Oryctolagus cuniculus: one gene and its partner. The protein of the gene in region 1 interacts with the protein of each later gene in a pairwise test. Links are inferred from orthologs where the notes say so. Each region holds a gene or a part of one and is shown on either strand. Other genes may lie near its edges.

The links.
Region 2: the proteins of POC5 (region 1) and CETN1 interact in binary tests that used the Homo sapiens proteins (3 or more experiments, as listed by UniProt). The link is inferred for Oryctolagus cuniculus from reciprocal best matches to the Homo sapiens genes POC5 and CETN1.

The regions. Positions count from the first base shown.
Region 1 is NC_091445.1:714,470-718,287, forward strand, and holds part of POC5 (centrosomal protein POC5), read right to left. Parts: coding exon 3,809-3,818; intron 312-3,808; coding exon 135-311; exon of another isoform or gene 1-134. UniProt on the Homo sapiens protein: Essential for the assembly of the distal half of centrioles, required for centriole elongation. Acts as a negative regulator of centriole elongation.
Region 2 is NC_091441.1:57,199,023-57,202,428, reverse strand, and holds CETN1 (centrin-1), read right to left. Parts: upstream 1,700-3,406; 5' UTR 1,639-1,699; coding exon 1,120-1,638; 3' UTR 510-1,119; downstream 1-509. UniProt on the Homo sapiens protein: Plays a fundamental role in microtubule-organizing center structure and function. Plays a role in sperm cilia formation.

The DNA of each region.
Region 1 (3,818 bases):
GCAGATCTGATCACCGTACGCCAGTGCAGAAAGACTAACCGCAACAGCAGAGCACACGCCACTCCGACTCCAGATGTCACCAGACCGTCCATCTGAACTGTCAGGGAGAAGAGTGGCCGCCCCCCGCGGCTTACCACTGTGACTGGGTGGTGCTTCTCCACGACCACGGAGCTCACGGGCGGAGAAACACCCATGATAGCCAAGCTGCTGTTGACTCTGTTCTTGGAGGCGAAGTCGCACTTCCCCGTGATCCGGGCCGTGATCGTCCTCCCTGCCTTCTGCTGTGCGGAAGTTACGACTCTCGGCACGTACTAAAAAACAGAAACAACCCTGCTGGTGCGGATTCACGCAAAAGGCCGATGGCTTTAGTTCCAGACTCGTGAAGAAAATACACAGGACTTAAAATCACTCCGTATTCAACCATCTTTAACATGAAAACCATCTTGAACATGAAAACAAGAAACCTACAAGGACATAAGAAGCAAAACATGACGCCACACAGCCCTTCAGCTCTGGTTTGCCAGCCGTTTCAAGGGAGGCTAGGAAGTGTTCTATAACAGCTCGGACTCCCGGGAGGCTGCAAGGCCTGGGGGCGAGGCCTGTGCATCCCAGCCATCACCCATTCCCGGCACTGACTGCCTCTTCGTCATGACCGTCTGGCTGACACCAGACCAGGAGCAGACAGATGTGACGCGTGCAGGATCAGTGTGGCAGTCCCATGTGTGCACCCTGGGAGCCAGCACAGACCTTGCATGTCCACAAAGACTGGCCTCCTTCCTGCACCTCTGGCGGCCACCAGTCTGTCTGATCTACCCTGTGGCCCGCGGCATAATTAGCATCATCGTTACGTGTATGCTTTGCCTTTTCCTTCTCACTTGATTAATAAACTTCTTATCAGAAAGGAGCACAAAAACCTGCTATAATATATATAATTTTTAAGATTAATTTATTTATTTGAAAGGAAGAGCAACAGAGACATAGAGATCCTCCATGGTTCACTCCCCAAATGTCAAGGCTGGGCCAGGCTGAAACCACGAGCCAGGAACTGCATCCTGGCTCTGGGGAGAGAGGGGAGAGGGAGAAGGGGGGGGGGGGAGGGAGGGAGGGAGGGGGAGAGGGAGGGGGAGGGAGAGGGGGAGAGCGGGAGAGGGGGAGGGGAGAGGGGGAGAGAGGGAGGGAGGGAGAGGGGGAGAGAGGGAGAGAGAGAGAGAGGGAGAGGGGAGAGAGGGAGAGAGGGAGGGAGGGAGAGGGGGAGAGAGGGAGGGAGAGGGGGAGAGAGGGAGAGAAACAGAGAGAGGGAGAGGGGGAGAGGGGGAGGGGAGAGGGGGAGAGAGGGAGGGAGAGAAGTGAAAGAAATGAGAGAGTTATCTTCTATCTGCTGGTTCATTCTCCAGATGGCTGCAATGGCCAGGGCTAGGCCAGGCCAAAGCCAGTAGGCAGGAGCTTCTTCTGGGTCTCCCAAGAACTTGGACCATCCTCCACTTCTTCCCAGGTGCATTAGCAGGGAGCTGGACTGGAAGTGGAACAACTGGGACTTGGGCCAGCACCCACATGGTTAACCTCCTACTCCACAGCACTGGCCCCCAGTCTTATTTCTGAGCTAAAACTCCCCTGCGTATTCAAACGCTGCTTAGCCACGTCTACTTCTATTCAAGCTCTTTAAATTAAGTAGCATGTAACATTGTTTTCTAGAGTTGGTAGCTCTATTTTGTGTTTAAAGTGATCACAGATTATTAAAATTTTAGTAGTATGACATTCTTAAACACTGGTTTGACAAGGGATGAAACAGTTTGACAAAACTATATTTGCAGCAATACTGATAGACACAGGCATTTCTTCTTTTTTCGGTGTGTGTTTTGATTTTTTTTCTGGTTTTAACTCCCACATAGAAGGGAGAACATATGCTATTTGTCTTTCTGTGTCCAGCTTACTTCATGCAACATGATGTCCTCCAGTTGTATCCACATCTGGATGCAGATGGTAGAATTTCATTCTTGTTCATAGCTGCATAATATTCCACTGCGTATATATACCACATTTTCTTTTGTCCACTCATCTGCTGATGCACACCCTGTTCTGTGTTTTGGCTATTGGGAACAGTGCTGCAGGTATCCCTCTGATACATGTTTATGCATTTGGGGTATGTACCCAGGAGTGGGCCTGTTGCAGCATATGGAGAGTTAGCAGCTCTTAAAAGGTGCAAGTTAAAGTCAGCGGGAGTACTGAAGACGACCACTTTCTGTTGGCTCGGGCCTCACCTCACCACAGGGCCATGGCAGCCCTTCCTGCCTTCCTGGGAACACTGAGAGCAACCCTGGGGCAGGCACCTGGTACAGCAGTGAGGAGGCTGTGTGGGTCCCCCACATCTGGGGCCAGAGCACTGGGCTCCAGCTTCCGGCTAATGTAGGCCCTGGGAGGCAGCTCATGTACTTGGGTCTCTGACACCCACGTCGGAGACCTGACTGGAGTCCCCAGCTCCTGGCTCGGCCTAGCAGTTGTGGGCATCTGGGGAGTGAACCAGTAAACCAGTGGGCAGGCGATCTCTCCCCAACTGTTTATGTGCCTTTCAAATAAAATGGAAAAAAAAAGTTACCAGGTGTCAAAGTGAAAGTCTGGCTTGTAGGCTGCTCCACCCTCTGAAAAAACATTGAGTGAAGCCGACAGGTCTGGCAGCAGGCGGCCGGCCTCTGTGGCTCCAGCATCACAGCCCGACCAGCTGCACTGGGGAAGGCACACACGCCGCTCCCCAAGTCTCCCCAGCGCTCTGGTACCAGCTGCACTGGGGAAGGCACACACGCTGCCCCCCAAGTCTCCCCAGCGCTCTGGTACCAGCTGCACTGGGGAAGCCACACACGCTGCTCCCCAAGTCTCCCCAGCGCTCTGGTACCAGCTGTGACTCAGGGAAGTCTCTTCCACCTTCATTCTGATTATGAACTAAAAGTTTAAGCGTGGGCTGGCGCCACGGCTCACGTGGCTAATCCTCCGCCTGTGGAGTACTAGGTTCTAGTCCCCCGGCTTCTAGTCCCGGTTGCTCCTCTTCCAGTCTAGCTCTCTGCTGTAGCCCGGGAAGGCAATGGAGGATGGCCCAAGTGCTTGGGCCCTGCATCCGCATGGGAGACCAGGAGAAGCACCTGGCTCCTGGCTTTGGATCGGCGCAGCGCCGGCCGTAGCGGCCATTTTGGGCAGCGGTGGGGGAAGAGCAACGGAAGGAAGACCTTTCTCTCTTTCTCTCTCTAACTCTGCCTGTCAAAAAAAAAAAAATTACTTGAAAGGCAGAGTGACAGAGAGTGAGTGGGGTAGAGAGAGAGAGGGAGGAGGAGAGACAGAGAGGTTGCTTTCTTCTGGTGCTTCACTCTCCAAATGGCCTCAATAGCCGGTGCTGGGCCAGGCAAAACCAGGAGCCAGGAACTCTGTCCTGGGTCCCATGTGGGTGCAGGGGCCCAGGGACTCAGGCTATCCTCTGCTGTTTTCCCAGGTACATTTTAGGAAGCTGTATCAGAAGTGGATTAACCAGGACTCAAACAGGCCCTTCAGTACAGGATACGGGCACGGCAGGTGCCAGGTGAACCTGCCTCGCCACAATGCCAGCCCCCAAACGGTATTTTTACTTTCACTACTGTGGTAGCGCTTCTGGTTACATTTTTCATTCTCAATTAATACTTAGCCACTTTGTGCATTAAATATCTGCGGCTTGGCCTAGATACCACGCACTTTTTCTGCATAGAAAAATAAGTTCTGCGCCCAAAATAGCCACTTCACAAGCAAGTTTCTTAACCCTGGCATAACGCGGCACGTGCATCGACTGTACCTCTTCCGGC
Region 2 (3,406 bases), on another chromosome or scaffold:
CCCTTGAATAACTTTGTTGCCTATTTCCAAAACCTTAGTGAAAGCTTCCATCTTGGCAAACAGATTATATTATCTTCCCACAGTCACATTATTTAAATTTTCTCTAACTTCAATTATTTAAGAGTAGGCATCTTTATTTCAAAGCAAGAAAGAGTTAATTTATAAAAGAACAAGTAATATTATTTACACACATGCAAATCACAGTGAATTTACTAAAATGTATAAAATAGAGAACCAGAGAACTATCTGTATCTCAGACACTCTAATGTCTAAAGTACATCAGGGGTCGGGGGGGGGGGGCTCAATTACCTCCAGTTATGATGTTCTAAGAACAGGTAGGTGGATAGCGCCTTGTAATTAAGCAGTAATGAAATGGCTAAGTTATGTTCTAGTGCTATAATGCCTAAAACATTCATTGATCTTTTCAAGAACAGATAAGTAGCTTAAAATGTATTTGACATTTTTTACGATTGCTTAAATGAAGATCTTACTTTTGTAAATACTCAAAATTGTTAGCTTAACGTCTTCATCAAATTTTATTCAATAGCCCAGGTACACATAGTGGTCCTGCACTGCTCACAGTAGATAATTTATACACAAAGAATCATACATATGTGAGGAAGCCAGAAAATAGTCTAAATTGCACAGTTCACTACCACCCACAGGCAAGCCTATACTTTGGTACCTTTCCTGAGCTCAGTAAGTTCTTAAATCGCCATTCCAGTTTCCTTTAAATCAGTAGTTAAATGATTATGCTAGGATAATGGCTTCAACTGAAGAAATCATATATGAAGCAAGATCATCTAAGACCACCAAAGAAGTGACAAGGGAACCCTATTTCTGCTCGTCCCAAGAAGCTGTCCTGGTTTTAGTTTGATAGATGTCCACACTCGCGAGGAAAATAACGGATGCACTTTAACCTAATGTACTCCAGGTCTGCTCTTGAGAATTAAAAACCAAAACTCATGTTGCATGCATCTTTCAAAGTCTGTAATTGAGCTAGAGGTTTGGAAATTGATCAAGACAAATTAGGAGGAAAAAGAAGAGCTAGAGACAGCCACTGCCCTCAAAGTGACAGTCTCACAAAACTCGGGCGAATGGCGTCCCGTGCCAGCGACTTTAATAGAGGCTGGTCTTTTTCATGATCTTCAGAAACTCCTCCTCGTTCACCTCGCCGTCCCCGTCCCGATCAGCCTCGTCGATCATTTCCTGCAGCTCCTCATCCGTGAGGTTCTCGCCCAGCTCGTTGGCCACGCGCTTGAGGTTTTTGAAAGAGATCTTCCCCGTCTCGTCGTCATCAAAGAGCCGGAAAGCCTTCAGGATTTCTTCTTTGGTGTCCTTCTCGGCCATCTTCTGAGTCATCACAGCCAGGAAGTCGTTGAAGCTGATCTTCCCCGTGCCCTCCTTGTCCACCTCCGAGATCATTTTCTTGATCTCTTCCTTCCTGGGTTCGAAGCCCAGCGCCCTCATGGCCACCTTCAGCTCCTTCACGTCGATGGTGCCACTTCCATCGGCATCGAAGAGGTCAAACGCCTCTCGAACTTCTTGCTTCTGATCTTCAGTGAGTTCGGGCTTCGGACCCGACTTCTTCCTCTGGCTGGCGGGAGCCGAGTTCGGCTTCTTGAAGCTGGACGCCATCCTGGCCCGGCAGTTGTTAACGCTAACGCCGCCAGCGCTGCCGTTGCCACTGCGCCTGCGCCCAGGCGCCCCCACGAGGAGACGCGGGATGTCCCCGCGTTCATCCTCAAAGCGGAGCTCTGTCCCCGCTCCGGCGCAGGGAGCCCCTGCCGGCTAAGGCCTCCACATCTGGGAGATCTTATTTACGTTAACATCCACAGTCCCTGGGTTTATAACCGACTTTCCAGGAGTTGATTCCCGAGCTGGCCAGAACTGCCTGTAGCGCGTTGTCTTCCATAATTCACCGCTCGCTGGTCTTCTTTACGGGCCATTGGTTAGCATCCATCAAACCCATCAGGTTCATTTGGAAGTTCTTCCTCTCTCTCCTTTTCCATACTAATTTTAAAAACATTCTTGGTTTTGAGGTTACTGAAGGGCAAATTTAGGATAATCAAGATTAAGTTTGTTCACTTGGCATTAAATATGGGGAAGGAGAAGGGAAAGAGAATATTAAAAGTCATACCATGTGTTCAACTTGACATAAATGGAAAGCAGATAAAATGGAAAAAGTTATGTATACAATTTGTAGAAGTTTGTCTCCTGACATTACACTCAGCAATAATAAAACTCCTGGCATGTTCTCAAATATGAAATGTAATATCCAAATGTATGATTTATTTTTGGTGTTTCAATTTGACTTCGTATAATTGCACTTGAATAATGGTCCTAATTTCATTTACTAGGCTTTTGATTCGGAGGGAGAGTTGTAATACTGTATTCCAGTTTTCTGGTAGGTTTTTTTTTTTTTCAAACTCTGGCAGCACATTACTCTCTTACAGTTTAACATCCAATCAGGGTTGTGCTCAGCCGCATGCTCTGGGAGTCTTCCCTTGACAGTGGACAGAACAGGAGATGATGCAGAGCACATTAGGACTCAGAATTGGCTCCTGGAAACAAAGGGGTCCTCCTGGAAACCAGAGGAGCAATTGAAAAATGGAAGCTTTTCAGGTGAAAAAAAAAAAAAAAAAGAAAAAAAGTTACCAAATAAGCCCACAGAGGAATTCCCATCAGAATAGTTGCATATGTCTTTAAACAATATTTTTTAAAAAGATGACTTTAATTTGTTAGAATTCTTTGTCCAAAAAATCTGAATTTATCACTACTCAATCTGTTACAACAGAGGAAACTTGGAAGAGTTTTTGTATGCTCAGCACCTAGAACAGTGCTTAAATGTCACGTAATAGGTGGATTAACAAATATTTGTAGAATAAATGCATAACAATGCTATCCTGAAATACCTTCTGAACCATCAACATAAAGCAAACCAAAAAACCCCAAAAGATTAAACGATGCTGGAAGCGCTTTACAAGCTGTTTTTAAAATTTGTGGGCAGATATTGTTTCCATGGCGTGTGGTATAGTTGTGTTATAGTTGTCTGTTTCTCCCTCAAAGTTCCTGTGTTGGAGGCTTGGTGGGGTGGGGGTAGGGGGAGGTATGGGGAGGGGGTGAGACCTTTAAAAGGTGGGGCCTACTGAGAGGTCTTTAGGTCATTAGAGGTGCTGCCCTTAGGAAGGCATTAAGGTAGTTCTGTGTTCCCTTGGTGGTTCATAGCCTGAAGCTGGCCCATGCAGCTCTCCTGCTCTCTGTCCAGTGCTGTGCTCTCACCGTTGCTGTGACTATGAAGTGACACAGCCCAGAGGGCCCTCACCGAACTGAGCCAATGCAGATGCCATGCCCTCGAACCTCCAGAACTGTGACCTAGAAAGATCTCTTAAAGGAGTTAGCTGGT